2 linked regions of the Lonchura striata genome follow. The protein of the gene in region 1 purifies or fractionates together with the protein of each later gene. This does not show direct contact. Links are inferred from orthologs where the notes say so. Each region holds a gene or a part of one and is shown in the gene's direction. Other genes may lie near its edges.

Region 1 (16,220 bases):
CAGAATAAAACAAGGACAGAGGCAGCAAGAGAGGACATTGGTGTCCCAGGGCTTCACACAGGAAGAGAGAATGTAACATGGTTAGAAACAGCTTTCCCCAGGCACCACAGTGCTGAGATGGAGCAGGGAGGCTGTGAAAGCTTTGCTAAATCTTATGTCATCAAGTCAACCACGAGGCCCAGCCACGTCCCAGCTCCTGCTGAGCTCAGGGCCAGTGCAGTGACTGGACCTGCTGAGAGGTGATGAGTCCCAGCCCTACCATCCCCCCTCAGAGCACAAATACAATTTTGTGCATCCTGTGCTCTTTCTAGTTGAAAAAACGAAGCTGTTCTGATCTGCCTTCAAGATGGTTCAACCTCACAAGAATCAGTGTTTCTTATCTCCAGCAATTTAGCACTATAACTGTGGTGAAGTTGGTGTTCAATGTGCAACATTCAGGTCTCAAATAAGGGCAAGTGGGGTTTATAGGGAGGAAAGTGAATGGGTAGGGAGCAATTAATTCCTGAAAAACACAGTTTTGATGAGAACTATGGCGATTCTTGAACTTACACCATCATATGCCACTCTTTTCTTCCCCCCCATCCATTCCCCAAGTGAAATAAAGTTTGGAAGAACCAAAACACTGGCATGTTTTCAAAATAAAATATTGCTCTGTTAAAGTCAGCAAAGGAAATACCCCAAATGGAAGATCCCAGTTGGTTTCTGGGTGCTCCCATTCTTGGATGGAGGAGCAGTTCCTAGGAACTGCCAAGGCAAGGCTTGCCTCTCCTCACCCTGAAGGTGATGTTGACACCTCTGAAGAGCAATTTTTTGCTTGTGTGTATTAAGTAGGAACCAAATAGAACCTGTAAGCAGGAAACCTTTGAATTGGTGCTTGTGTGTCTGCTTGGAGGGAAAGTTTTACAAATGCACTGGGTTTTTCTAATGTATGCAAACAGCCTCTACTGAGGAGGGATTGACTTTAAACTGATCGACACTTTGCCCATTACCACACCTTGTGCAGCTGCCATTTGGTGGTGTTGTGCCCCTGAGCAGACACTCACCTGGATGAGCACAGAGACTCACCTGGATGAGCACAGAGGCTGACCTGGATGAGAGCAGAGGCTCACCTGGATGAGAGCAGAGGCTCACCTGGATGAGCACCCAGAGCAGAGGCTCACCTGGATGAGCACAGAGACTCACCTGGATGAGCACAGAGACTCACCTGGATGAGAGCAGAGGCTCACCTGGATGAGCACAGAGGCTCACCTGGATGAGCACCCAGAGCAGAGGCTCACCTGGATGAGCACAGAGGCTCACCTGGATGAGCACCCAGAGCAGAGACTCACCTGGATGAGCACCCAGAGCAGCCTGCGGCGGAGCTGCTCCGTGCCGTGGCAGGGGCACTGGCGGGTGTGCACCCTGTGTGTCTGCCCATAGAGCTGCAGCCTCACTCCCTCCTCTGGGGCCTGCTTCTCTTCTTCCAGCTCAGCAGTGAGCTGTGCTGAGGTTCCTCCCACGGACAGGACTCCTGCCATCCCCTTCTTGGAGGGGACCAACTGTCCTTGCCAGTCATACTGACCCAAAAAGAACGAGAGAGGTCAATCCTTGAGACTTCTCCATCTCAGTCACAGCCAAATGCCAGCATTAGTGCACAGAGAGAGAAAGCAGCTTGAAAGTGCCCATAGCCCAACACTTTTTTGACCACATAAGGATGCTGAACCAGTGGCTTCAGAGGGAACAGAGGAGCCAGTGTACAGCCACTGTCACCTGCACAGAGCAGCCTGTGGGGGCAAACAGGTCTGTCCAGCCTGGATGGCTGCACTAGGCAGTGCTCTCAGCAGGCAGGAGAAGGGGACAGTGGTGAGGGTGGTGAGGAGTGGCAGCGACATTTCCAAGAGGGCAGATACGGGTTTCAAGTGCTGCCTTGATGCTAAAGTGATCCTTCTGTCAGAAACCTGTGGCATCATCTCCTGCAGTCCTGCAGAACTCACTTTGGCAATGCTGAAGTTCACAGGACAGGCAGGAGAGTTTACATGGGGTAAACACTTTGAGCTGGCTGGAGGAGGTCTGAATCTGAACACTCTGAACCTACTGTCAACAGGTCTGACAATTCCCTAACCAGTGTGTGCTTGCTGCTGGCTATCAGAACTGCTTTTCACATCCCTGATGAAGAATAACTCAGTCTGACCCACCTTTCTCTTGCCCTCTGAGTTCTTAGGCTTAAGAAGTGATGGGTGAAACAAGAAAACTGAAATTATTTTCTTTTTGTTTAACAAGTGCCTTCTAAATACAGAACAGGTCTCCCTGCTGTCTCACTGAGAGTGGCTTTTGGTTTGGCAGCAACAGAATCTGCTTCTCTACCACCCACAAGACTCCCAATGGGACAGCTGGACTCCAGTGGCAATCCCACAGCACTCCACAAACAGCAGAAACTCCTGTTTGATGCCCCATGGCCAGGCTATGTAAGGTCATCTACATGAGCATCCTGGATGTGCTGGCCAAAAAGTCTCACGTCTGTTAGGGCAACTGCATGGATGTGTTCATGGAAGGCCAGAGCAGAGATTGGGTTCTTCAGCCTAGTTATGACCATGGAATCCAATAATGGTTTGGGTTGGGAGGGATATTAAAGCTCACCTCATTCCAACCCCCTGCCATGGGCAGGGACACCTTCCACTGTCCCAGGCTGCTCCAAGCCTCATCCAACCTGGCCTTGGACACTTCCAGGGATGGGGGGATGGGGCAGCCACAGCTGCTCTGGGCACCCTGTGCCACATCACCTCAACCAGCTGGTGCTGGATCTAAGCTGCCTCCTCTGAAAGGCAGTGGAAGTTGTACTGAAGCATTGTTTTAAGTACAGGGGTTTGCCCATCCCACCACTTGTCTCTGTGGCTGTCTGTTAACAGGAGCTGCTCAGCCCAGCTCTGTGTGCCCCAGGGAGAATCATCCTTTACCTTGAAGAAGTTCTCCAGGACATAGTTAACAGCAACCCAATTGAATGCTTCTTCCTCTGGGCTGGACAGGATTTGTGCTCCTTGAAAGCTGAAGGGGGATGACTTCAGGGTGCCAGTCAGAGCTGCAAGGAGACTGTCAGAGAGGATGGGATGGGTGAGGCTAAACACAAAAGAAAAACAAGGTACATTTGATGTTACAGGACCCTGCCAGGAGCTGCCTGCAGTGAGGACACACTGCAGGGCTTCTGCTGTGCTCCCTACTTTGGGTAGTAGCCCAGAGACACAGTGACAATCCCACTCCTGCTTCCCTCTCTCCTCGCATGGCACTGGAGGCAAGAACAGCAGAGGGCTGGTTTGAACAACTGTGCCACTGTTTAAGAATTTAGGACCTTAGTACCCTCTGTCACTGAGGAAATCCTCTGGTCCTATCCCACTGGCCTGGTCCTCTCCTGACCTTAATTTTCCCCAGTGTCTAAAAGGAGATAAAGGTCCCAGTAATGTGGTGACTGAGAAGAAGGTCCACAAGACTGTGTGATAATGTGAACCTTCCCACCACCATTTCCAATTTGCTGACAAGAAGCACTCCTGCAAGCCCATGTGGGCTGTCACACAAACTGAAACCACTTCAGCTTCCAGACTGATGGGTGTTTTCCCAGGCACTAATTGTGAAAGTGTAATAGTGAAGGAGACACTGTCAACCTGGCAGCAGTTGCAGGACTGTCATCTTCATGGCTGCCTGAGGCAACACATGGAGACACAGCCATGCCATGCTCCTCTCTTCAGGGCCTGAGGAAGGTTTAGCTGGCTAGCAGATTAGGGATGGCTCACACTGCAGAGCAGACAGGGTGAGATGCCTGTTACAGAATGATGCCTTGATGTGTGCTGGTCTCTGGGTGTGGGTTTGAAACATTCACTCACTTCAGCTGCCTCATGCTGGCGGTGGCTCCCAAGTACAGGGGGGTTTGGCTGTGCTGCTCTGCTGGGATCTCGTTCTGGGCCCAGTTCAAACATGGCTCCAAGCTCTTCCCAGCTTTCTGAGGAGAATCTGAGTAGCTGGAGATTCCTGGACCTGAGGACCATGGAACAGAATGGAATTTTAAGGGAAGTTATGGGAGAACTGTGAGAGCTGTTACCCCAGAGATTGCTATCCATGGGTAAGACAGAACCTGTCACAGGTGGGATGAAGGAGGTCTTCCAGGTATCCATCCTGCTAAAATATGGAACTGAGACCAAAACGTGCATAGAAATCCCAAATTACATTAAGACTACCTTTGCTCTGCAGATGAGACATCTCTACCAGCCACATGACTGCTGCAGCAGCTGAGGCTGTCTCAGCCCACAGAGGAAGAAATGTGGCTTTAGTTGCTATAGAAATAAGCAAAGGACACACAGAGGCTGATGTATCACCTCTGTCCTCCAGCCATCGAGCCCCCTGCCCTAGAGGAAGCCAGTGCTCTGCAGAGGGAAGCTGTGTGCCAGCCTTGACTCATTTTTCCAGCAGTCAGTGGAGTCTTAAATGTTGGTTTTGAACTACTACCCAGGAAGAGTCTCCCTTTGCTGTTCTCCTGATTCCCTCACCACGTGCTTTGCTCTCTGTGGCTGTGCTGCCATGCAGACAGGGCCCCTCAAACTGGGGCTTGAGACCTGCCTGGGCCTCTTGTGCTGCTGCTGGCAGCAAACTGCCTCACAGAGCTGCTGCTTAACCCAGCTGCTGAACGAGGGACATGTACAAGGTTTCAGGGAGCCCTTCTTGCATCTTCTCTGTGTGATTTCAGTTGTTTACAGCCTGCAAGGGCACAAACCCTGTTCCCTGCTTGCTGTGCAGCTGCCCTCCCACAGCACGTTGCTGCTGAGGGCTCAGTCCTTCCCAGCATCCCACTATAACCAGGCTTTAACATCAAAGCAAGATTAGGAGATAGGGAAGGAAAACCCCATGTATTAATGCATGAAACCCTCTCAGCTGGCATTGGCAGGGCCAAACTGATTCAAATTAATGAGGAAAACCGCCAAATTCTCTGAAATGGGAACACCTAAAGGCAAGCTGAACTCATTTTGTGCTGTCAGATGCGATATAGGGAATTGGAGTTTTGCAGCTCTCTTGTCCTGGAGCTACCCCACTTACTGCCCAGGGCACAGTCAGGAGGAGGCCAGGAGTCCTCCTCTTCTCCACAGTCAGGAGAAGATACTAGGAGTCATCCTGCAGTCAGATTTGTCTCCATTGCTGTTCACTGCCTCTCCTGGGTGAGAAGCTCCAGCAACCTTGGCTCTATCACTGATCCATGTGCACATCAAGACAAGCCACATCCTCTCTGCATGTTTCCCTGCCTGCAGCAGCCCCAAAATCCTGACACCTGCTACTGCCAAGGGCCTGATGTGCAACTGTGTGTGGCTAAATCCACCCAGTCGAGAAGAGTTATGCTGAAAATAAGCAACTTGTGCTTTACTATTTCTGTGCACAGCTGGGGGAGCCAAGGAATTTATGGCACTGGTCCATGCACAGGTCTCTGTTTTTCCATCCATCCCATGCCAGTTGCATGGACCATTGAGCAGGAAATGGGCACCTTACCTTGCACAGGGCAGGAGCTGCATCCTCTGATCACCCCGGTCTTGTTTGCCTTGGTGGTTGTCCACTGGTAGATGAACAGGATGGTGCGGGATGGGCCAGCATCCAGAACAATGCCATACTGGAAGAACCCCAGAACATTCTACTGAAAAACACTAGTGAATGCATGCTGACTGATTCTGTAGGGTTACCAAGCATATATAGGTATTCTGGGTCTGCACTGCAGTGCTTGAGTTTGCTTGTGACATTCAAAGAGCAGGTGAAGCCAGAACATGATGAGGATTTGCAGGGAACCATCTGCGTTTCTGAATATATATGAGGAACAGCAGGAGTGAAGAAACGCCCAGAAATACATCAGCCCTACAGTGGCATGCACTGGAGCTGCTCCTGAAACCAGGCAGAGGGCTTCCCCTGAGAGCTGAGCCACCTGGAGCTCAGGAAAAACAGGTCCTAAAGCAGTGGGAGATGGCACTGTTCTCCACTGATTCTGGGACTCAAACTGCTGCTGGTTGGTTTGCTCAGGCTTTTGTGCAGGAATTGGAGGGCTGCAGCTGACTTTTCCCAGGAAACCCAGGACTCCTGTGTCTCTTTGATGTCCCACTGCAGTGAGGGTGTGACACAGGCTTAGGTTTGTGTGCAGAGCTGTAGGAGCTGCAGCAACCAGCACAGACGCTGTTCAACACAGCAGCCCCTCAGAGACAGAGATGATGTCTTGGCAGGAAGAGCAGCAGCAGTAGACATGATCAGCTCACCCCTTGTCCCCGGGCAGCTCTGCTATTGCCCAAACCAAGGGCTCTCTGTCTCCTTGTCCCCAGTGTTTGTTTGCTGCTGACCAAGCCTTGCTGCTTCCAGAATATGAAGGAGAGCAAGGGGAGGCCACTGGACTACCCTGCAGCACAGGTCTGGCTGTCCCCACACCCAAAATAGCTCCAGAGCTAACCTAGGGCTCCTCTGCTCCTCTTACATGACCCCAGTTTGGGACATCTCCTACACAGACAGGAAGAAAACTCATGAGCTGCATGCTAGTGCGTGGTCAAAGCTGGATCTCACACACAAATAGAGCTGTGACTGAGTGGGAGGAGAAACCTCCTGAGAGGTTGATGTTAATGCCACCAGAAGGGTTTCAGCACCAGCCAGAGCTGGCTGCAGGCTCTGAGTGAGGCTGGCTGCCTGCTGCCCTCCTGGAGCTCCCAGTTGCACCAGTCCTGGCAGCCAGGCCAGGGGCTGGTGGGGCTGGGCTGGAGCAGCAATGCGGAAGGAGGCTGGAGCTCCCTGCCCCAGCCTGCTGGCACCCTCCCACACCAGTGACAGCTCGGATTTCTAGCAGGGACATGTTGGCTGCTGCAGAAGAGGAAGAAAGGAATGGCATTGGTGGAGAAACGTGGAATTTTTTTTCTCCTTCAGAAAATTAGAGGCTGCTGCTGAGAGCCCAAGGGAGAAGGGGAGGGATCACCACATTTATGCCCAGCTCAACACCAGGAAAGGACAGAACAAGGAGCAATAAGAGGGGTTTTAACTGAGTTTTGTTTCTGAGAGGAACATGGAGGAGGGGTGCTATTTCTAAACACCCAGGATAGCCTCCTTCTGTTGGGTGGAACCACGGTGTGCCACTGAGCTCACCTCAGCAATGGGAGCATCAAGAGACAGAGCAGGTGAGCATTAACCCCCCAAGACCTGACCCAGCTGTGAGGAGCACACCAGCTCTTTGACTGAAATCAAGACAGGACCAAAGAGAAGAAGGCATGAAAGACAATTTGTTTTTAAGACAGAAGCAGCAGTTCAGGGGCACATTCCTACTGACTTTTGAGAGGGACCTAGCTCTTTCCCTGCACTGACACCACTGGTTCCTTGTTGCTCTGGGGCAGCTCCTGACATGGGCTGCCTCCCCTCAGCCTGCCCTGAGCATCTCCACTGATCCATGGACCATATCCAGCCCGCATTCCATGACCAATCAAAGGAGGGGGCTTGTTTCTGGTTTGAAAACCTACAGCATGTTGAAAGACGCCAACCTGTCCTGACAGTCTTGTTTCAGTTCCCTCCTCGGTTTGTAAGTAGCTCAATAATAAAATTATGTCAAAAGCAACAAAACAGCCCAGCTTAGCTGCCTGTCTCCCCCCTGGAGAGCCCTTACCTTGGTCCTGAGTGGGGCCACGGGCACATCTTTGGTGGAGACACAGAGCAGCACGATGCCCGTCAGCCCCGCTACGATCACCAGCCAGGGGGGAAGCAGCTCTCGCCAAGACATGAAGAGTGTTCTCCTTTCACCAAAGAGGAAGCAGTGGAGCAGCAAACCGGCTGCTTTAATAACCTTTAAAAAGAGCAGAAAGGCGTGGCCAGGGCCCGGCTCTGACTTCAGCCCAGCCCCAAGCCACAGGGACCACAGGGACGCGTGGGCCTGGCTGTGATGTGTCAGGGAGCTCTGCTTTCCCTTCCATCCCTGCTGCCCATAAATAACAGGAGGGCTCTGTGCCCATCCCTGTGCGAGCTGTGCAGCAGCACCGCTGCAACCTCGAAACTGCCCCAGGCAGCGGGGTTGAGGTAAACACAAATGTGGGGTTAACTCAGCAGAAGGCAGGCAAAACTCATCCCTTTGGTATTCCACATCTGGCAGCGTGAGCTTTCAAATTAGAAGCTGGGGAAACTGCTTGTTATTGGATTTACTTTGTTTCTGAGGGCATGAGCCTCTCTGACAGCCTCCCTGTGGAAAACAACCAAGGCTCAGGCTTCTTGAAACACACGCCTGCTTTCTCCTGACAGTGCCACAAAGTCTCATCCCTGCAAATGGAAATTCAGAAGAAAACTCCATGGCTGCTTGCACTGAGGCATTTGGCTGATTGCTCATGTCCACAGACTGGTCATAGATCTGAAGGTGAAACCAGGAATAGGGAAAGGCCACATCTCTGTTTTTGGTGGTTTCCTCTTTTCATTGCTGTCTGCCCATGAGGAAGCCTCAGACACCCCCAGGAACTTGGAAGTGACCCATGTAATAAATAAAAAGGTTTAAAAAGGAAAAAAGGACTATTAAAAAAAAGTCAAAGTGGGAGGGCGTGCACCATGATAGAGAAGAGACTCCCCAGCTGCCCAGCGCTGCCTTTTGCTTAATACCACTTGCTTAATAAATTCTTGTTAATTAATTTATCTATAATTAGCCTCCCCAATTGAATTTGTCCATAACAACCCACAAGGATCGAGTCCAACCCTTAGCCTTGCATAGGACACTCCCAAGAGTCCCACCATGTGGAAGCTCCTGGAGCAGGGCCTGTGGAGAGCTGCAAAGTTGGCCAAGGCTCTGGAACATTTCCCTTGTGAGGAGAGGCTGAGGGAGCTGGGTCTGTTCAGCCTGGAGAAGAGACAGCCCAGAGGGGACCTCATCAGTGTGTATGGGTATCTAAAGGGGGGTGTCCGAGCATGGACCAGACTCTGCTGGTGCCCAGCAGTGGACAAGAGGCAGCAGCTGACACCCAGGAAGCTCCACCTGAACATGGGGAAGAATTTCTTTGCTGTGGGGGTGACCAAGCTCTGAACAGGCAGCCCAGAGAGGGAGTGGAGTCTCCCTCACTGGAGATATTCCAGAACCGTCTGGTTATGTGTAGTAAACATAATTAGCGCCATTCCTTGTATGAAATGTGTAATATTGGATACTTGTTAGATTCTGCTCGTTTGTATTAGGCCCCCCACCCTCGCAGGTGAGACTGGGTGTATATTAGAAACTGATTTACAAGTAAAAAGATGTGGCTTGGCCAGGAGATGGGGATGGGCCATGTCTAGAGAGATTTGGGGACCCCAGGTGCTGATCATGGCGTGAACGACCCGGGATGGATCTCATGGAAATCCTCCGGCAGATCCATGGGAATGCAGCGTTCCCGTAAACTTCATCAAGGGATTCACCAACTCCTGGCACTGAATTGTTCTTCATCCCCAAAAAAGAAAATCTCATTAACCTATGGGCTCTGAATGGAAGAAAAGACTGATTGCTGAACTCTTGGCCTCAGGTGGAATTTTCCCTATAAAAACCGCTTGTGCCAGGCTGGAGGTGTGTGGGCACAGAGGAAAACCTCTGCTGGGGCTGACTCCTTGTGGCACACCCAGGGCTGACCCCGGGCTCGGCTCTGTTCTTTCCTTGTGGCTGGCTAGATAGAATTTGATTGCAAAATAAATATTTTATATTTCATTTTAATTTGGCTGGACAAATTTTCATTTATAACAGTCTGAACACAATCCTGCGCCGTGTGCTCTGGGATGACCCTGCTTGGAAAGGAAGGTGGGGCTAGATGACCGTCTATGATCCCTTCCAGCCCGAACCATTCCGTGATCGCATGTGCTGTCCAAAGGCTCCCTGAGCCCCATGCGCCCTGCCTGGCGCTCAGCCGAGCCGCACCGAGCTCCTCGGGCCGCGGGGAGCCCGGGGCAGCCGCCGCGGAACCTTGGTGCGGCGGAACCTCCGTGCTGCGGCGCGGGGCCCGCCCGCGGGGCGGCTTGGGGCGGACCGCGCGGAGCCGGGGCGGGAGCTGAGGCGGGACCGGGAACCGGATCGGCACCGGGATCGGGATCGGGAATAGGGCCGGGAACAGGGCCGGGAACGGCACCTGGAGCGGCCCCCGCGCCCGGCCGGGCCGACATGTACGCGGGGCTGCAGGAGCTGGGAGTGGCCAACGGCGAGGACCTCAAGGAGACCCTGACGAACTGCACGGAGCCGCTGAAGGCCATCGAGCAGTTCCAGGTGCGCTGGGGCCGTGTGGGGCCGGGCCGTGCGGGACAGCGAGCACGGGACGGCCCCCAGCGCCCTCTGGGCTTTTCCTGGCTGTATTTGTAATCCCGAGTGCCGTTGTCATTCCCTCGGCGGGTTGTGTTGCAGACGGAGAACGGGGTGCTGCTGCCCTCGCTGCAGTATGCCCTGCCCTTCCTGGACCTTCACGGCACCCCCCGGCTCGAGTTCCACCAGTCCGTGTTCGATGAGCTGCGGGAGAAGCTGCTGGAGAGAGTCTCTGCCATCGCTTTGGAGGGGAAGGTCGAGGAGAGGTTTGTCAGCAGCCTCCTGGGAGTTCTGTGTGAAAATACAGTGGGTGGGTGACTTCTCTAAAGGAGAGTTGGGCTCTTCAGGGTCCGAGTTCCAGTGGCTTTGAGGTGGCCACTTCGTTCCTTTACTGCTGCGTGGTACCTAGTCTCATGTTTTCCCATGATTTCAGATACAAGAAGCTGGAAGATCTCCTAGAGAAGAGCTTTTCCCTGGTCAAGATGCCCTCGATACAGCCCGTGGTCATGTGTGTCATGAAGCACTTGCCCAAGGTGGGACCACTGCACTGGTTGGCCTGGTGTGATGTGGTATGTCACTGGTGTGACATCTCTGGTGTGACATCTCTGGTGTGACATCTCTGGTGTGACGTCTCTGCTGTGCCTCTGGCAGGGAGGCTCTGCTCCCTCTGCTCCTTCTGCAAGTGTGTTTTTCAGTGTCAAGAACTGACTGAGGATTCAACACATTCTTGTATCTGCTAATAGCTCAGTGGACTAATTCAAAAAGCCTTTCACATTTTCATTATCAGACGAGACTATTTCCCTATTTTCTTCAATCCATGCAGCTTCCTAAAAAGTCAAGTTTGCTGATAGGTGAATTTTTCCACAACTGTTTTGCAAATCTTTGACAAGTGGAAGGTAAGGCTTGAAAAGTGCAATTAAAAGTAGGCAGGAGGGAGAATCAGGTCTGTGAAACAAAAATCCTTACTAAAAGCATCATGTTGCACTCAATGTAATGGACTCAAAACACTGCTGGAACTTCAGTAAATTACTGAGCTTGGAAACATCACCTCAAATCTCAGCACTGGAGATTTAAAGTAGACCTTTTTTCTTCTTTGAAAGAATCAAGGGTGTGTGATTTGGGTGTTGAAGTCTCTTAGGGCTGGTCTACTGCTACACCAGGTGGGTGAATGCCCAGACTGCCTGAGGTGGGGATCACGGCATGGAGAGGATTGCCTCACCTTGAGTCCTGGGGCTGTTTGGGCACAAGATGAAAAAACATCTAAAGCTGTTGGAAAATGTTAAAAGGATGGTGCAGGGTGTGGAGGGGCCCGTGAGGAGCAGCTGAGGGCACTGGGATGGTTCAGCTGGGGCAGGCTGAGGGCAGAGCTCCCCGGGGCTGCAGCTCCTCCTGGGGCAGCTCCAGCTCTGCCCTGGGACAGGGACAGGAGCCAGGGCACGGCTGGAGCTGGGCCAGGGCAGCTCAGGCTGGAGAGCAGGAAAGGTTCTTCCCCCAGAGGTGCTGGCACTGCCCAGGCTGCCCAGGGAATGGGCACGGCCCCGAGGCTGCCAGAGCTCCAGGAGCCTTTGGCCAGCGCTGCCAGGGATGCCCAGGGTGGGATTTTGGGGGTCTGGGCAGGGACAGGGGCTGGGCTGGATAATCCTTGTGGGTCCCTCCCAGCTCAGGAGGTTCTCTGATTCCATGATTTAGATGGTTACATGGACAGGCAGGGAGGTGAGGTGCTGCTCACTCTGTACCTGCTCTGTGGATTGCAGGTCCCTGAGAAGAAGCTGAAGCTGGTGATGGCTGATAAGGACCTGTACAAGGCCTGTGCTGTGGAGGTGAAGAGGCAGATCTGGCAGGACAACCAGGCTCTCTTTGGGGATGAGGTGTCACCCTTGCTGAAGCAATACATCCTGGAGAAGGAGAACATTCTCTTCAGCAATGATATTTCCTTCTTGCAAAATTTCTTCAGTCCATCTCCCAAAACGAGACGTCAAGGAGAGGTAAGGACAAGGAAACCCTCACAATGTGCTGGTGAGGGGAATTACCAGCTTTCAGTCAACCATCACATAAATAACCTGAGCTGTTTTTTTCTGCCCATCTTCACTGCTGCAGTTGTTTAGCTGAACAAACTCTTTGCAGGAAGCACCAGGCCATTTTCTCCTGCACATTTTGATAAAAGCAGGAGGAATTATTTTAATTGTTGTGTAATAAATGATGAATGTTCTAAGTTGTTTATACACTTCAAAAAAAGAAAGGGCAGATTTTTTCTCTGGTGGTCAGTCTGGTTTTAATACACTTCAGCTGTTCTGAAGGCTGAACATCTCTTACCACATCAGTTTGATTATGCTGATATGTTAAATTCGCTTTCTTAGGACTTTTTTTAGTAGATGTATTTCAACTGAAGTTGCTTTTTTTAAAAAAAAACTATGTAGAAAGTTGTAGTTAATTGGCATCCGGAAAAGTTGAATTAAATTAAGGCAGTATAGTTTTAATTTCAGAGAGCACAGCACATCTGTTACATGAGGGTTTGTTTTAGGCTTGTTTTGCTTTCAGAATCATTTGGTGTAAATGCCCTTGTGCAATTTACTCCAGGTTTGCACTGCAGAGTTGTGCTTTAACCCCAGCTGGACATTCAGCACCACACCTCCACTTGGTCACTCTCCTTGAGGGGATGGGGGGAGAATCAGAAGGGTAGAAGAAAGAATCTGTGGGTTGGGACAAAACCAGGTTATGGCAGCTTTTGGTTTTTGAAGATCTGGTGAACATCTCTTGAACAAATGCTCTTGGAAATCTTGGGGTAAACAGTTCCTTTTCAGGACCTCATGTCCCTGCAGATGCTTCAGTCTCGGTAAATCAGATAACATAATTAATTGACATTTGTGTGTGTGTAGAATGAGAGCCTCTCTTGGTGCTGAGCCCACGTGTTCCCTCTGAGCTCAGGTGGTGCAGAAGCTGACGCAGATGATCGGGAAGAACGTGAAGCTCTACGACATGGTGCTGCAGTTCCTCAGGACCCTGTTCCTGCGCACCAGGAACGTCCATTACTGCACGCTGAGGGCAGAGCTCCTGATGTCACTGCATGACCTGGAGATCAGTGACATCTGCACTGTTGATCCCTGTCACAAGGTACCAATCACATGGGACAGACAGGGGTATTTATGGACAATTTTCTGCAAAAAGCCCAGAGAAGATGAATCCTTTCTGTAAAGAGATTTCAGACCTTAAACCTAAATGTCATCTTACACTCCTTGAACTTTTGGGTGAAAACTTCATCTTGGTTAACCAGCAGTTTGCTTTTATCTCATAACCCATGAATCGTTCAAGCTTAGGGTACTTTGGCAGTGTTAAAAGCAATGTCTAATCTGACATCTATTCTATGTAGATGCTGCAGAAATAATAAAAAACACCAGCTGGCCCCAGGTTCTTACTCCAGGCTCCCCTCCCAGTTTTGGATATGCTCCATCTGTCAGTAAACTGTGTGTAACAGTAAATACTTTGGATATTGAATTATAAGAAAACATGAAACTATTCAAATATTAGGAATTACAGATGTGGTAATGTCACAGCAGGATCTTGTTACTGGCCCCTTGTTCATGATAGCATCACTCTGACCTGGAACAAGGCCTTTTCTCTGAGGTAGTTGTTAAGTTTTACATGTATTCTGCTTAAAAAATAGTTCAGTAATACAGCTCTAAAGCAGGGACCCCTCCACTGTCAATATTCCTTTATTTAGAGTGTGGGAGTGCTATTCCAATTACCAAAATAAACCACATTTTTATTTCTAAGTGATGCTGCTTCTTTCTCAGTCCCCTACTTGTATAAATCCACAGGTGTGCAGGACGGTGGTGGATTTAATAACTGCTTCTTAATTGCCAGGGAATGCCTTCCCTGGAAGTGGAGAAAGCGACCCCAGGTTAACTTCCCTGGGCATTCCTAACCTCCTTTTGGGATGTTTGCCTTTCTGGCCTCTGTTAGTCACCAGTGTGGTACTGTGCCCAGGTGCATTAATGAAGCACCTCAATTGGAGATATTTTGAGGTCATTCTGAGCCTGTTTTCTCTGACAGCATGTGTTTTATTGCTGGTTTAATGAGTTCCTAAAGCTCCCTCCATCTGCTGACAGTTCACCTGGTGCCTTGACGCCTGCATTCGGGAGAAGTTCGTGGACAACAAGAGAGCTCGGGAATTGCAAGGATTCCTGGATGGGGTGAAGAAAGGACAAGAACAAGTGTTGGGGTAAGGCACTTGGGCTGCTAATTGGGAAACTGAAAATGGCTTCCTAGCATTCACAACACCTGACAGATGCTGTAGATGTTAATTCTTCCCTAAAGCCAGCCAAACATCCAGCAGCCCCTCTGTGCAGTCACATCCAAACATCCCTCAGTGTGCTGGGGCACAGCCAAGCACATCCTGGTGGTCTCCCCTGTGGCCTCATAACAAAATTCAGGAGCCTTTCTTAAAGAGTCAGAATAACTTATTACTAATGACTTGTCTGGCTTTAAACCCAGAGAAAATGGGCTGGTGATGTTTGTCAGTTAAAATGCTTCATTAGCTTCAAATGACAATCCTGCTGTGATCTGGTACACTTATTCTGGAAGGTTGTCTCACAGTATTTTATTTAGCTGGTACTTTTAAGATTTTGTCCATTGGTATTTTAAGCTACTCAAGAATTCATTTTTACTTGTTGTTTTTCAAAAACCTCTGGGACCTTTTGGTCAAAACCTGCCAGCTCGAAGAGCTGGGCCCACCAGAGCCTCACTATCTGTGGGCTGTCTCCCAGTGGACCTTCAGCTGGCTGTGGGAGATTTTGTGCTTGATCTCAGTGCAGAAGACTTTGAGCAATTGTTATTTGTGTTCTTTCACATCAAAACCACCATGAATGTTACTTCTTTACAAGGCAGGACAAAGTTTATGAGGTGCACACAGCTGGGTTTGGACCTGTACAATGGGGTTGTTGGTTATGTATGACAAGTGTTTGGTTTTTACTTCTTCTCAGGGACTTATCAATGATCCTGTGTGATCCCTTTGCCATTAACACCTTAGCCTTGAGCACCATAAGGCACCTGCAAGACCTGGTTGGGCAGGACACCTTACCCAGGGTAAGTATTGCAGCTTGTGTAGCTAACCTGAATTATTCTCTAGGCTGACTGACAGCCATCAGGGAAGGAATGGCACCATCCAAGTCTCATTAAGTTCCCAAATGTGGCAGTTGAAACAAGGGAAACATGATTCCTGTCCATTTGCAGCACCTGCTGCAGAGCTCTGCAGGAGCTCTTTGGACATGGTGGGCATTTTGGAACTCTGCAAACGTTGCATGGCTCATTCTGCCTGGCAGCTGTGCAAATACAGAATAATATGTAGAATCTGTGCCTCCCTGCTTTGTCCCTCCATCAATTTGTCTGACAGCAGCACCTTTCTCCTGCCATGGTGAATGCCATGGGTTTGCTTGCACAGTTCTGGTCTGGTGGCTGAGATAAAACACAGTTCCTGCAAGTGGAGTCTGCAGGAGGTGCTGAAAGGTTAAAGAAGGGCACCCTGACAGGTGCCTGAACAATGGGAGCCACTTGCTGTTTTATCCCTGAGTTGTTAAATGTTCTTGTTGCATGGAGCAACTTCCTTGTGACAGTTTAAGACTGAAAGTCATTTGGATTTCAGGACACAAACAATCTGTTCTTACACACCCTTTCTCCTCCTTTCTTCTGCTGAAATGACTTGGTTTGTCCTCTCACACATTATATTCTAGTGCACTAATTGGGCTGGACACATTTTAAAAAGATGTGCTCAGGTGGCTGCAGACTTCCTGGTGCATTATAAATTTACTACCCCCCACAAACCCTGAGGTGTGGCAGTTATTTGATGCCCATTTGAGGATCAGTTTTCAATTAACTTGAACTGAATGCCTTTAGCAGTCTTGGACAAAGCTGCTAATCCAGAACAGCTTTGAATATAAACCACTTCTTCCAAATAAATATCTCATGTGAAGATCAA
Region 2 (15,954 bases), on another chromosome or scaffold:
TGTCTTTAGCAACTCAGTGAACAGAATGGACCATGGTATGGAGATGAGTCAGGATTGTGTGATGCATCAGATCGTGTCCAGAGAATCCTGGCTTGTTTTTGCAGACAGTGAACACTACGATTGCAGGAGGAAAAAAGTGGTTCCAGGCTAAGGCATTTGTATGCAGCTCAGAAGGACTGGATTCTATTTTTATCCTTCTCACAGACTACTGAATTAGCCACTTAAAAACCCATTTTTCATGGCTGGACATGAACTGGGTACAGGGTTTTGCTGAAAGCCTAAATTCTAATCTTCTGCTTTTATGGCTAAAAATGTAGCCACAATGTAATGTAATTAATGCTGTAATGCTATTTTCTCCCTAATTTATGAGGATGTTATCAAAATACACTGAATTCCATTTGTGAAGCTCTCAGCTCCTACCCTCCTGTATATCACTGAAAAATGCATAACAAAACTGGTAACTCTGCTTTCACAGCAGAATTTGAACAGTAAGTAGTAAGGCATGGAGTCCCATATCAAGCTTCAAAAAGAGAACAAAATATTGAAGAATGGCTCATTAAGTGACTACTGTCCTCTCTGGCCACTAATGAGCTCCTGTCATTAATGACTGCCTTGCAATCAAATACAACAGAAGGCAAATCAAAGTTCTGAAAACAACACAAATCCTGGCAATTTTTTAACTGCAGAATGTTTGACTTCACAGCCTTAAAAGCTTTTATATTATTTTTGTCCCCCTATGACACAGTTCAGTGCCAGTGAATCTGTTGTATCTGACAACCAGATTGCTCCCTGTTTAGTGCCTCCCTACTATGCCTGACCTCCTAATGATGGTCTCCTAAGCAGGATTTGAAGTTACTTTAAAAAATAATATGAAAAATTTATATAATTACATTTTACAAAATATTTACTTTTTTTTTTTAATTACTAAGGATTTTAATTTTTCTCATTTTCTCTTTCCTCTTTCACTCTTCTCACTCCCCTCCTCCATCAGCTGGAAAAGCTAAGTCCATGATGTCACCTTGGAAAAGGGTGTTAAGAGCTTTAGATCAAAAACTCTTCTGTGTAAATGTCAATTCAATCCACTCCAGAACATTTTCCTGCAAGCTACATCACCCAACACTAAAAAACGGATTAACACACTAAACTGGATTGAAACATCCTCCTCATTAACACAACTGTAAATTGGGAAGAGCGCAACATTATTTTTATCTCCAGCTTTCTCCTCCTTGGTTTACCCAGTTTCTCTCTCTCTCTTTCAGAAGAGTTAAATTCCAGAGGGTGATGAGGCACTGGGAGAGGTTTTCCAGGGAATTTGGGGATGTTCTGTCCCTGGCAGCGTTCAAGGCCAGGCTGGATGGGGCTCTGATCACCCTGGTCTAGTGGAAGGCTGCCCATGGCAGTGGGTTGGAACAAGATGATCTGGAATGTCCCTTCCAACCCAAACCATTCTATCATCCTGTCATTCTTCAGTAAAAAACACCAATGAGATGCTGGAGAATCGAATTAAAGACCTGCCTCATCTAATTGTCTTACCTGGACCTAAGCACAGAATTTCCTCTACCCTGTTCCTTTGCTGCCTCTTTGTTAAACAGGGTAACACATGTACAAATCTCATAAAATGGTGAGAAGAATTTTTATCAGGGATTGAGTCTATACAATCCACTGGCAAGCAGAACCACACCAAAGGATACCAATAGTACATGTAAACTAAATTTACGCCATCTGAAGATCCCTGTAATGTGTTCATCAGGATGCCTCCTCAGTTACTAGAATACAAAAAAGTCTTGCTGAAATCATAACTTTTTCTAAAAAGAAAGAAAATTCTCAGCACATCATACTAATCTGAGTATCCATATAATGGATATGCAATATCAGTATGTTCTGAGAGTAGCAATGTCTCAATAATTCATGAACAACCACATACAAATATTCTAAGTCTGCCTCCAAAAGCTGCAATTTTGTTATTCTTTATTTCAGTTCTGGAGGAAATCCAGCCATGCTGAGAAAATCTGTGCTAGAAAAAAGAGTTTGGAAGGAGAGGTAATATGTTTTATTAGATGAAAACAGACCAAATACAAGGAGTGTAAGCCTGCAAGATTGTTTATTTTTCCAATTACATCTGATAAAATATGTTTTGCTATAAACATAACCTTTCTTACAGATTACAGAAGTATTACTTTAAAAGTAAAACACTTGCAAGAAACATTTGTACAATAAAGCAAATAAAGCTTAAAATAAATTACAAGTGAGAAAAGATTAAAAGATTTATAATTTACATTGTTCTCTACATACCTATTAAGTTGTGGCATAGGCTAGTAATCTTCCCCTGCTTATTTGGATTTTTCTCATAGCAATGAAAAGAGCAAAAATAAAACACTTTTAAGTGTTATTGCTAAAACAAAAATAGGTGGAGAGAATTCACTGGCATAAAAAACCTTGAAAGGCTTTCAGTTCATTTATCTTTAAGGGACTATAGTTCAAGTTCATAGTATCCCTTAAACTATGACAGATGTTTTGATTTCAGCCAGATTCCTCAGATACGTTTATCTTGTCATTTTATTGGACATGTCTGCATTTTTTTCCTTACTGTAATCTGTGTTTTTCAAAAAAGATTCCACTTGTCATAGCAGAGAACTAACACCAGAGATCTTAACTGTCAGGTACTAACTGGTATTTATGGCTTATTCAGACAAGCTGGAGAGCAGGGTGAAATTTTTACAATATTTTGATTAATGATTTGCATCAAATTTTGTGTGTATGAGAGATTCTTTGACTTTATGCTTGGAACTCAAGCAAATACCATCTTAAGGAATCTCTCTTTTAATTATTAGGGTAAGAAATACATCAGCAGTAGCTCTGGAAAGCTCACTGGGTCAGAAGCTACCATTAAAAGCAGGAAATTTTGTCTATGAGAGTTCACAACTTCTAAATTTGAGTACTTCTATCTTGTGTTGCTACCACTGTTGACCAGGATTCAGAGCAGGCAGAGATGGGCTGTGAAATCCAAGTTCTCCACTGACTCATATTGTTTCAGGCCCAGATACCTACATCTCCCAAATCATACCTGGAACATCCAGCTGTATCACACATGGAGTGTCTCAAACAGTGGAAAAGGTCATATGTAACACAATGCTGTATGGTTAAGACATAGATAAAGTAATTCCTATCCAGATATTTTAGTGTGTCCTTTCTGTGCTCCTGGGCTTTAAACTCCCTTCAAGTGCTCAGTGTGGGATCTATGACAAAAAAAAAAAAAAAAAAAAAAAAAAAAAACCTAACAAAGAAAAAGTTATATGGAAGTTATCTTCTTCTACCTCCCAGTTATCTTCTACTTTTATTTATACAATGACACAAAAAAAAGCCTTTTTTAAGAGAGCAAGGGCTGGGCAGCCAGTCTGTCAGATGGTTTGAAAACTGGCTTAAGGAATGGCTGACATGCAGCTAATGAAGAACAGTGTGTGTCAGATGATGACACAGAGGGCACCCTGAGCACATTTAGGGATGCCAAATTAAGGAGTGTTGACATGAGGACTGGCAGAACTTAACCCAGAAAGATCTTGATAAATTTGAGGACTAGGCCAAGAGACACCTCAGGCTTGATGGAAAACCCCAGGCATGAGGACAGGCAGGAAACTGGCTGAGCATCAGCCCAACAGAAGGACCAAGGGATCACGCTAATGTCAGGCTGAGCACAAGCCCATTTGGGCCAACAGTGCATTCTCACTGTAAATAATTCAAACTGCACCCTGGACTCCATCAAGAGATGTGGCAAGGAAAGTATTAAATATCATTAAAACAGATAAATGAGGAGCAAAGAAATTGTTACAGAGGCTGAAAAATTCTACTTTAATTCAAAATTCATCCACTTTGCAAAGAAAGAAGAGAAGAAGCTGTTCATAAAAACGGGTGTAGTCTAGCTGGGAAATTAGAAGGTAGCAATCCTTGCCAGAGCACCGAGTTTCTGAAATACTCTTCTGCCTTCAGCAGCAGGATAAAACAGTCAAGCCAGTTGCAACATGGAGTTTAATAGCTCATAAAAAGACTGATGTAATAACATGGCACATGACAGCAAGTGGTCACGTAGGACATCTCATCCAGTCCTACATTCCTGAATTCCACATGCATGAAGAGTGATAAAAAAATGAAATAAGATGAAGAATAGTTTCTGAAAGATAATAAAGAGGGAGAGAAAAAAGGAAATAAACTTATGGGTATTGGCAAACAAAGTCCCAGGGGGTTATGAAAAGGGAAGCATTCTTCCTTGAAAACTTCATGACTTCCTTGTGGAAGATCACAGCATTGTCTCAATGTGCCCTATGTCACAACCTGTAATACCCCTCATTTCAGCACAATTGCATTATGACAGCTACTGAAAGCATTATGCCTCCAGCAAAATAAGAATAGGATGCTTTACACATTCTATACCATGAGATGTCAAGTAACAGATGATCCAATGCAAGGCCTTTCTACCACTTGGCCATATCATCACAAGCAGAGACAATTTGAAGCACAGTGCATGGGCAAATATATGGATTTAAAACAACAAATTTATTTGTGTGCAACACTTTGTGTTTTAGGTCCTAGGGGTTTTTCAAAACCTCTAATGGTCTTTAATTTCACACATTGTTAGGTCTAATTAATGGTATTTGGACTGTTCACAGTGATGGTGTTCTTATTTATTAGAAGTAATTGAGAACTTAATTGAGCTCTGCATTCATAGTTTCATGTTTTAAATAACAATTTTAATTCTTCCTTTTGTTATATTAATCTATCTTAAATCTTACTAAAATCAAGAGTAAAAGAAAGACAATGGAAGAGGTGGCAGAGGCAACCAAACAGATGGGTGTTTCCTCAAGGATGGGACCTCTCAGGTAGGTGTCTCAGGTACAGAGACCTTAATGAAATTATTTTATCACTGCTGACCCTCAGTGTTCAGGCCCCATCAGCCACACATCAGAGCCCAGAGCAGGAGTGTACCAAGTTTAACTGCTCTAGAGCAAGACAGAAGGAAAAGTAGTCTTGATTTCAACCTCTTCCTCTTCATGGGCCTTTTTCATCATTGGCTTTAAGTCACTGCATCATTTTGAAGTTTATTTCAGAGGGAAAATAATCATAAAATCATGTGACTATATGTCTTGTGCTGCAAGAGGGTATGACAGCAATGTAAGCATAATCCTGGACACAGGCAGCTGGATGGAGCAGCATTGAAAAAAACATTGAAACAATTACTGCCCATCATGCCATGCCAATTCACACAACAAGAAGTACCAGGACATTTTTTGTAGCTTTTATCTTTATTTCTGCTGGAGGCTTTGCCTCCCAGAGAAAGGAGCTGACTGTGTCACAGCTAACAGAGGAGGTTCCCACAATGAAGCTTTGCCTTAGACTTGAGGAAGTCAGATAATCTGGTTTTATTTGAGTAAATTCTCAGCCCATGTGTTGTTTCAGATCACATTGCTACAGCAGTCTTAAAATGGGTCAAATAAAACTCCCACACAAAATGATGCACCCACACAATTGCATTAACCCATAATAAGCAGCATTTTACAAACTGAATTATAACTGTCTTTAAACTGATATTAAATACCATTTTATAAAATCATCTCCTGCTTAATAACAATTAACTGTGTACCTTAGACCCACTGAGAAACCTCTGTTGTCAGTTACCATAAAGGATATTAGACTTGTACTACTACCAGTTACTCCATTAGTGCCCCTGATACCTCTAAATGCTTAACCCCACAGTAAACTTATATGCCAGCCTGATATCAAAGGATAAAATTTATCTCCTTTTTCTGCTTTGAAAACATAGGAAACAGTGCTTTAAAAGCCTATTGAAAAGATGCGGTATTTAGAACTCAAGATACAAATATAAAAGTTCACAGAAAAGCTGTTATTCAGTCCTGATGGCAATGCTGGGGGAGCAGAAGGATAAATTATATGATAATACACAATCTACTGCTCTGTCTCCCTTCCTGGGCTGGCCCCTGTGAGCATGGCATGAATCACAGCCTAAAGCCCTGCTGGCTCAGACACTACCATACTTGCCATTGCAGGATGAGGTGCCAGTGGGAATGCAGTGCCACTGCTCATGCCAACGCCGTGTTTACTGCACATGCCTCAGCACTTCCTTAAAAACAGCAAAGCAGCTTCTTGTTCACTGAGAGATCAGAGCCAACACAAACTGAAAGCTCTGCCCATGAGTGTACCAGATGCTGTGCTGCTTTCCCTCGAGCCAGGAGAACTCCAGGCTCTACCCCTCAACATCCTGCTGGGTACAAGTAATGATGTTGAATCTGACACAGCACTCTGCTCTGGATAGCACAGGGCTAGATAGATAATATTTCAACAGGTAACAAGCTAAAACTGCAGGTTGGGAAATTCATGGAGCACTGGTTTTGGTGTGAGACAAAGCTTCACCTTTGTTAAAAGTATTATAAAGCAGATTCAAAGAAATTAACTCTTGCCTGTGCCTGGCTCTTTTTTCAATACTGTCATGACTGGGTGAGTGAATGACTCCAGGGTGTCCCCCTGGTCAATTTTGTGGCACACTCCACTCCCAACTTTTCTCAACAATTTCATATTCAACATCACCTCCTTTGAAATAGGGACCTGCAACTTACAGGAAAAAACATCTGCAGACAGTTATCTGTGCAATGCAACATCTTGAGGGATACAAAACATTCCAGAGAAATCAAGTACCCCTTTTCCAGCTCCAGAAATCCCTGAGGAATGAGCCTTTTTATATTTGGCATATCACTCTGAAAATCACTACCCAAGCTAAACAAAATTTAGGTTTAAAAAAAAAAAAAAAAAAAAAAAAAGCACTTAATTCCAACAGAAATTTAAGGTACAAGTAGCTGGCACAACAAAAGCTCTTACAGGAGGCTGGCACTTTGTCTTAATCTCCAGAGTGTCTGATACCTCTTCAGGTAAGAGCCAGAGGGACAAATCTGCAGGTGATAGGGCTGGAGCCAAACTGACCATGCAAATCCACACATCACAGAATAGGCTCCCTTCTCAAGTCACACTTCAGATAAAAGCACAAAAGTCATCACAGCAGCTCAGACTAGATGGCCATGTGGCTCAGTGCCTTAACACTGACAGTGTCTAAAAACAGATGCCTCGAGGAAAGCACAGGAACGGTGTGTGTGTAATAACCTTCCTTAGCTTCCATCAGCCTGCAGTTTGGCTCTCCTGAGAAAAGCAGCACCAAATCCCAGAATAACTTGAATAACTTTAGGGAATCAGAGCTACCCTTTCAAAGACAGCCAGTCCAGCCATCTGAACTGGTGGAGTTTGTGTCATCTCACAGAACCAGGTTAACTCTGTTACAGCCACTGCTTGAAGACAACCAGCTGTGCAAACATGTTCTGATTTACCTCCCCCAAAACAATTTTAAAAGGGGTTGGTTACTTTCTTGCACAATTAAAAGATGAGATAATCACTAGTTTTCCTTGCTTAATTAGATTTTTTATACTATCTCATGGATTTTACCCGATAGATAAGATTGTACCCAAGACTTACCAATACTGGTGCCTACCTTTAACAGCTATATGTAATTAATGGAGAGCAAAGGTTACTAGTGATAATTACATGTTGATTATATGACTAAGTGAATGCAATTCCTTTACAGCTACTTTTAAACCTTTTGCTTTAATTACTTTCCTGTTATATGAGGTTATATTCCTTTATATAAATATTCTGTAGCAAATTTAGTAATTTAGCTCAGCGTCTTAGATACAATGTTTTTTCTGTTCAAACCAACAGATACATAGGTATTTGTGGAGAAGTAATTCCCCCCCCAGCTACATAGTGAACTTACATATTGAGAAATCAACAGAAATTCTGGATATTTATGTGCTACACTGCCTCAGCTTTGATTTTGCTGTTCTAAAATATCAGCTCACTCCATACAAAAGTTCTGTCTTAAGTCAGATTTGAGTATAAATTGTTTGATGGTACAAAAAAAATGCATTATTAGGTATGGAAAAAGTCATAATGTACTAATATAGAATTTATTCACACAGAAACTCTTTGCCTCAAAATACTTCCACACTGACAGAAGTTATAGCACCCAAGAGCTGCAGTCACTCAGTAGCATGAACAAAAAAAGACTCCATGATGTACATTTAGATTGAATAGTAAGAAAAACATTTTCACTGAAAAGGTCGTTAAGCATTGGAAAGACTGCCCAGGGAAGCGGTAGAATCGCCATTCCTGGAAGTGTTCAAAAGTCTGGAGATGTGGCATTTGGTGACATGGTTTAGCGGTGGCCGGGTTGATGTTTGAATTCGGTGATCTTCGAGATCTTTTCCAACCTGAAGGATTATGTGATTCTATGAGAAAACATAGAGCACCTCGGCAACTATTGCTCTGTTCTCCCAGAGAAATCAGGTTGTAAACAATGTCTTTTAACGGCGGAATGTTGTAAAGAAAACGTTTTCATTCTAAAGCGTAGGAGAAAGATCAGCAGAATATGCTCCGCACTCTTGCAACTCCTGTACTTTAGTTTCAACCAGAGAAGCGCTAAAACGAACCGTTTATGCTGCACTTGAAAGCCCCCTGAATCTTCGGGGATTTAGGAAATTGATTCATTTTTTTCATATTTAAATAACAACGAGCCGAGTCGCTAGGGAATACGAATGCATGCGGTGCGGGTTTCTGCGCGCCTACCCCCGGCGCTGCAGCCACCGAGGGAAGCCCGCCATGGCTGCGGCACCCAGCACGCCAATCTCCGGGGAAACCATGGAGGAGATACTCGGCCCCTCCTCCGGGCTCCTCCGGGCGGGCAGGGCTGGCGGCTCTCTCGGAAGCCCTGGCTGAAAGCTTTTTAAGCGGGCATTAGCGCCGGGGAGCGGCGCTGGGCGGGAGCGCGGGCCGGCCGCCCCGCCGGGGCTCGGGGCTGTGAGGGAAGCAGACGTGGTGCTCCGGGGAGCGCTGCGCCGGGAGGCGCGGGGGCCAGCCCACCTCGGGCAGGAAGCCCTGCCTCCAACCCCGCCGCGGCTCGGCGGCCCGCAAGCGGTTCTCCTCCCATTTCTGCCCAGGAGGAGTCAGGGCGGACTGTGAGGGACAATGAGTTGGGGCTGACAGAGGAGCTTCTCTACAGTGAAGCGGCGCCATCTTGCTTTACGGACGGAAAGCTATGGCGGGCGCCATTTTGCATTTGGCCGAGAGATGAGACGCGCCTTATTGCATTCCGCCTCCTGGGCGCCGCCATTTTAGGTTACGGCATAGCCTCCGCCTTCCCAAGCGCAACCTCATTGGGCGCCGCCATTTTGGCTTACGAACAAGACGGCGACCCGCAGGGGTCCTCACCCCCTCCCTTCCTCCCTTTAGGTGCCTTCATAAAATGCCCGTCGAGAATCCCCTCTTTTTTCGCCCCGCTCCCAAGATGGCGTCGATGCGGGAGAGCGACACCGGCCTGTGGCTGCACAACAAACTGGGCTCCACGGACGAGCTGTGGGCGCCGCCGAGCATCGCCTCGCTGCTCACGGCCTCGGTCATCGACAACATCCGTCTCTGTTTCCACGGCCTTTCCTCGGCCGTCAAGCTCAAGCTGCTCCTGGGGATGCTGCACCTGCCCCGCCGGGCGGTGGATGAGGTGAGAGCCGGGGGGGAGTCGCAGCGAAGCGGGGCGCGCGTGTGTGTGAGGGGGAGAGGTCGGGGATGGCGTGAGGGGAGAAAGGGGGGCAGTGCCGGCACAAGTCCCCCGCCCGCCCTTTATTTTCCACACGGCGCTGCGGGGAGGGCGAGCCCCGGGCTGCCCGCGGGGCGAAGCCGAGCGGCCGCAGCCCCTCAGGGCAGGGGCGTGGGGTAGCGCTGGTCCCCACAGCCTTCCCCGCCGCTCCCTCGCAGCCTTCCTTGCAGGGGCAGGAGTAAGTGAAGAAGGTCTCCCGACTCGCTTCCTCGGTGCGAGGAAGAGCGCCGAGATTCCCCGCGATAAGGGAGTGAGTGGAGTGGGAGCTTTGCTGCTGCTCCTCCTCTTCCTGCTCTTCGGGGATTCCCTGGTTGGCACTAGGTTTTTGAAAGCAGTTTGGACATGAAACCCACTGTGCGACCCACAGGGACTCATTGTAGGGCTGTGTTTGGGGTGCCTTTAAGGGAAGAGGGCTTTTCTGAGGCAGTGGCTGTGCGGTGGCTGGGAGAGAGGCAGGATCGTGTAGGAGCAGTCGTGTATGTGTTCAGCTTCCTCCACTCCTTCCTTAGTACTGGCAGCTGTGCAGGTGTCACAGGTCGAGCATCTCGCTTCAGGGAGGACAGCAGCAAGTGCTGAAACTTTGGGAGTGGAAGATCTGGGGTCTGCACTGAGCAGTGCTTTTCCCCACCCTGCTGCAGTCAGGTCTTGATTGGGGAAAATTGCCATGCTTTTTGTTTCCCTCCCTTTACCTTTTTGGGAACAGTTGGTGCTTTCCTCTGTTGTCCTACCCCAGTTAATAAACTGGCTGGCTCGAATCTGAGCTGGCTCTGCAGGCTTTTCACTTGGCCCTGGACCATACCTCATCTGCACCTGGCTTATTCTTACCGGTAGGCAGCTGCAGATGTTTGGGGCAATAGCTGGAGAATGTCTGAAAATCTCAGGTTTCTTTAGCCGGATTGGAGGAATTCCTCTCCTGCTTCCATCATGTAAAGTAGTATTTCCTTGTGACGATCATGGAAGTGGTGTGGGGTTAGTTTTCACCTTCCTCTGTAGAGTATCCTCAGCTGTGCTTTCACCAGTCTCTTTCTTGGCTAAGATACAGCTGCTGCTTAAGCTTAATATACATGTATACCAGGCAGGGTGTAGTATGTAACTTGGATTGATGTGCGCTCAGTTTTTGTGCACTTCTAGGCTGAAAATGGGCAAGCATCACCTTCAATAAATAATTTAGTGTATGACAGTGTTTGTCTTGCCACATGTATCTGTATGATTCTTAACTGTGGTACACTGGTGTCACTTTAAAAAAAAAATCTAGTTCAGCATGTTTATGCTAATTTTTAAAATATGATAGTCATGTTTAGTGCCTGTCCAGTGAACAAGCTGTCATCCTTGTGGGTGATAAATGGGGTTGTGTTCTGGACAAACAAAATAATCAAGGCCAGAAAGGGGGATGGGAGCTCGTGTGAACTTGTGAGTTTGCAAAATTCTTGTGACCTTAGTGTGAACATCCAAGTAGCAAATTAGTATGGCAGTGTTTAGAAAAATCAGTGGTGTTTTTAGATTGAAAAGAGCTTCAAAGAGCTTAAGGACTTTCATAAATAGCACTCATGGCAACTCTTTGAGGGAGCAGCATTCAAACAAACAAACTGAAATAATTTGAGATGCTTCAAGAGTGTTCACTAGGTGAACGTTTTAAACCAAACCCGAGGAAGAGCTGCCTGCAGCTTTCCTGGATCTGTGATTGTGTTAGCCGTGGAGATGAAGTGTGTGTAGAGAAAAGCCAGTCAGTGTGCCTTTTACTGTGTACTTAAAGTGATCTGTTGTGTTCCAAATGTAAAGCTCTTGTTCCTGCTGTAAGAAAATACTGTGGGATTTTTCAGTTTGGTAGAGTTAATGAATTCAATCATAAGCTTAATCTTTTATTGTAAACTGATGATGATTGATTGAGATCTACCCTTAGCATCTTTAATTGTTTCAGGAACATGAGATTTTTTTGCCTTAAACTGGGTGAAGGGCCTTAAATAAAGGTTAAAATAGTAAAACTCCTGAGGCAGAAACCCTTAACATTGTTGGTAGGCCTGTTATTATTATTACAGGCTTCCTTCTATAGATGGTAAAAATAGCTGATGTAACCAAACTGCTGACAGAAAGGACTGTTGTCTTATCAGATGCTCATCATTTGTGGTTAGTTTGCTAAGATAGTTTTATTTGTGCAAATTTGTCACCTAACTTAGTATCAAAATATTCAGTGTTTTAATTGTCAGAGAGTACCTTGCACACAATATCCAGCAGATAGATAAATATGTCTGTGTCCAGAATGGCTGTGCTGTGCACATCTCTCTGCAGCAGCCTTTGCTTGTGTGTTGGAAGTCACCCCCATGTCTGAAAATGATTAAACTGAACTATGAGAGTGCTTAATTATTCTCTTTGGAAAGTCATATGTCTTTGCCATGCCATGTGCCTGTGTCTGTATCGATCGAGTGCGAGAAGCACCGAGCTGGCATTTGGAAGCCTAATTGTATTGGAAAATGTATTGCATCAGCTTTGTAGAGCTTTGGGAATCTCAATAGCAGCTACAGGATATGTTACCTGTTAAAAGATATTCCCCTCTCTAGATAACAGATTAAACTGAGTTATTTTCTCTTCAAAATAAATTATTTTCTGTTTTCTGTATAGAAGTATTTTCACGAAAGCTTAGAATAACGCGGAAACTATTTGGGAGCAGACATTTGAGTAAAACAATGTGGGAATCAAGGAAACTGGTGGTATTTGCTTTAAAAGGGATTTAATTGCTCCTGGTCCTTTCTAAATCTCTGTGAAAGCTTCAGTCTAGACAAGTGAATCTTCAGTGACCCCTCTTGAAAGCTCAGTTCTTCGCTTAAATAGTTTTATGCTCTTTCAATTTTCATAATGTTTTCATTCAACACTCCAAATACTATATAGATATAAGTGACTTAATCCTCATAATACTCTTGTGGGACAGGTAATAAAACTAATTTTTTATCATGCTGTGAACCTCATTGCTGCATGTTTGTTCCTGCTGACTAATAAGAATAATTGGCTTTCATTTTCATTTTAAATTGTGTCTTGTAGGCAGTTATCAAAAATTCCTTTCCCACTGTAATTCTCTGGGAAGGACTTGCAAACTCTTGAATCTTATGGCTTTTCATCTGCTAATATTTTTCTAGATAATTGCACTTATTTGAAATGATGCCTAAAGCTCAGTATAGTGCTGACCAGAGTTTCAGTTGTGAATTTGGCAGAACTGTTATTTCTGTTTATTTTGCATATTCTTGTTAACCTGATTCACAATGGCAAGTGCAAATTTTCTTTTTATGCCAGTGTTAATTTATTTGTTCAGGGTTAGACTGTGATGTTACAACCAAGTCTGGAACAAGGACTGTGCTTCTGTGCTCTCTGAATTGTCTTGAGAGGAGGATTCCTAGCCCAGCAGGGACTTGCCTGTTTATTACAGTAGAAATCAAAACTGTGTCTTTGTACTGTGCAAAGGAATAAGAGGGGACATGACACTTGCATTTCCCTCTGTCTTGAGAGCACACAGGCTGCTGTGCACCTTTCTGGCCTGCACTTAGGGTTCATAATTATTCTGTGATGTAAAATGGTATATTTTAATCCAATAGTTCCCTTGGCCACTTTAGCTCTTTTTCATTCTTTAAATGCATACAATAGTGTGGTGGTACCAACCTGTCATGGGTTTGTATTGTGTAAATATTAATACTGTGTTTTCAATCCAGTGCTTTTAGTTTCATGAAAATGCTCTATAATGAGCAGCTACCTATTAAATATCATCTTTTCTATAGCCTCAGAAAGATTAAAGCTTCATTTGGTTTATTAGCCAACTGTTGATACAGCTGTCTAAAAGTATTTTCATACACATTAACTTAGACAGAATACAAAACAAATAAATGTGAAATATTTGCAAATAATCATCTTGGAGCTGTCACATTGTGTGCTACTTGTAACACTTCCTTTTAAATACCTTCCCACAGTCCTGTTTGTCCTTCCTGCACAGCCATTATTAATCTGCCTGTGTCCCAGACACTTCCCATTCTGCCTGATCCCTATTTGCTAGATGTTTCTAGTCATGGCCTATGCTTTTCCTTGTGTGCTAGCAAGCTGATAAAATACTTAAGATCCTTAAGTTTTAGATGAGAAAGACGTTGGAACATGTTACGTCAGATCTTGACATTCATGCTTAACAAGATGCTGGTTGGAACTGATGAGAGTCTTAATGACCCAGTGTTGAAATCATAGGCAATTAAGAATTAGGGATTATGGCTGTGCCCTGTAAAGTAACAGGAAAACTGCATTTAGGATTCCCTGATGAGTTGCATTTTATGCATTCTCAAAGCATAAATAAAATGTTTATTTTCAGCTGCCAGTTGAACAGTGAAGTGGGGACATGTATTTAAATATCCATTTGAAGACAAACCCAAGTCAGAACTCGAATCCAGGCTTGTTAAATTCAAACCCATATTCAGGCAAGGTCTCTGGTTAGCTCATAGTACTTGTTAGTGTGCTTTGCTTCCCTGTGTGTGATAGTGACTGCTATTTCACCATGTTCTTTCTGTCATGAGGCCTTGTGATAATGTTATTTGCCCCATGCTAGGCAAACAAATTGTTTCTGGGCTGCTTTCTTGAAAGAACTAAAAGCTTGTTAAGCAGTGGGTTTGGGCATAAATAGGCTGCCTGAACTTTAACCCTGAGAGCAGAGGGGATGCAATGTGCCCACACCAGCGTTCCATAGGAACTTTCATAGTATAGGCATGTAGCTATGTGAATTTTTGGTACAAATAGGAGTTTTGTGAAGTAGATACGAAGGGTAAATTGTGAGGATGCAAGAGACATTTTTCCTCTAGCTATTGCCTGACTTTGCTTTGATGAAGGAAATGACTTTCTGTACATTTGCCTGCATTAGTGGTGTCCACAGAAAAGCTTGTAAAAGCTATGCATTCATCAGCTCTTCTGGGATGTTTTAGGTGTTTTTTGTAAATCAGTACCTTGATTCCTTTAGGATAGATAAAAGAACAAAAGACTTTGCTTTGATAGTGTTCATAGTCATCCTCATCCACTGCCTAAGTGACTTTTGTTAAGGAGTTCATGGTTAGAATAAAGAGGTGGATGAGTGTGTGGAGGTTGTGGTGGGGTTATGTTTATTGAGGAATAAATGAGCAATGGAGAATCAGCAAAGAGTAGAACCTCAGAAATTGATTCTTTCCACTGGGTAAGCATTGGTTAAATTTGACAGGACATTACACAGTGTGTGCTCCTGGTTATGTGCTCAGTTTAATCCAAAGCAAATCAATGGCACTGTGGGATGGGAACTGGCCCATGTAGTGTCCTATTTCTGCTCCTCTCTGTGGTTCTGGTGTTTGTGTGACTGCAGTCACTCACTCTAAGGAGCTGGTCAAGCTTAAAGCTACGGAGGTGCTCATTTTGGGTCAGATGGACTGATGCAGTTTGTTTCACAAGCACATAATGTGTGAGCCCTAAAACATGCAGGGGGTAAAGGACAAACTGACTTTGGAGTGGACTTGTAAACTCTTTCAAAGTGAGAGGGCAATAACATTGTGCAGATGAAAGGACTTGAGAAATGTCAATGTTTGTTTGCCTCTGAGCTTTAAAAGTGGATGGGAGAGGAATGGGGAGCAGAATTTTAATTTTTATTTCTTTTATTTAGAGTTGTATGCATAGAGTAAGTTTATTTTTTTAAACCTTTTCATGTAAGAGTGCTTAAAATAAATAAATAAAGGAAAAGAAACAGCATGAAGGTGAAGATGAGTCTCTTGCTTGTTTTCCTGTGCTCAGAAACATGACTGTAACTAAGCTATATGTGCCACAATGGGTGGTGAAAAATCAAAATGAACGTATTTCCTTATACTTGCTTGTACATTCTTCAGTGTTAATACAATGCAGATAGAGTATGGTAAACTACTTTATGTGATTTTACTGTTGTGTTTTGTGGCTTGTTAGACATGCTGAATATCTCAAACATCTTAGTTTGCTGAAGCTAATGCTGTCACGCTTACATGAAAATTTACTTAGTAAAAAAGAAAGTTCAGTCTTGGGGGGTTTACACTTACTTGTGAATGAAGTAAACCCCTGACTGTAGTCACCTTTGATTTTCGTACCAGTGCCAACAGATATGTTGGTCAGTAATTAAAAAAATGCTGTTAAGATGAAACTTAAAATTTATTTCACTTAATTTTTTGCACTTTTCAAAATAGAAAAATAACTTTTTTTCTGGCTACTTTGGGTAGATGGAAATTCTTGTTGCTTGGGGCATGTTAAGA

The links.
Region 2: the proteins of NELFB (region 1) and NELFA purify together in Homo sapiens (affinity purification with mass spectrometry; 8 studies listed by BioGRID and IntAct, counting the BioPlex papers as one, with this or other methods). This does not show direct contact. The link is inferred for Lonchura striata from reciprocal best matches to the Homo sapiens genes NELFB and NELFA.

What each region holds. Positions count from the first base shown.
Region 1 is NC_134624.1:4,219,495-4,235,714, reverse strand, and holds the start of NELFB (negative elongation factor B), read left to right. Parts: upstream 1-9,976; 5' UTR 9,977-10,114; coding exon 10,115-10,216; intron 10,217-10,351; coding exon 10,352-10,515; intron 10,516-10,682; coding exon 10,683-10,782; intron 10,783-12,003; coding exon 12,004-12,234; intron 12,235-13,174; coding exon 13,175-13,360; intron 13,361-14,355; coding exon 14,356-14,468; intron 14,469-15,228; coding exon 15,229-15,331; intron 15,332-16,220. Other genes in the region: ectonucleoside triphosphate diphosphohydrolase 2-like, read right to left, coding at 1,329-1,556, 2,934-3,093, 3,852-4,002, 5,500-5,617, 7,628-7,741. UniProt on the Homo sapiens protein: Essential component of the NELF complex, a complex that negatively regulates the elongation of transcription by RNA polymerase II.
Region 2 is NC_134606.1:8,445,858-8,461,811, reverse strand, and holds the start of NELFA (negative elongation factor A), read left to right. Parts: upstream 1-9,064; 5' UTR 9,065-9,352; coding exon 9,353-9,604; intron 9,605-15,954. UniProt on the Homo sapiens protein: Essential component of the NELF complex, a complex that negatively regulates the elongation of transcription by RNA polymerase II.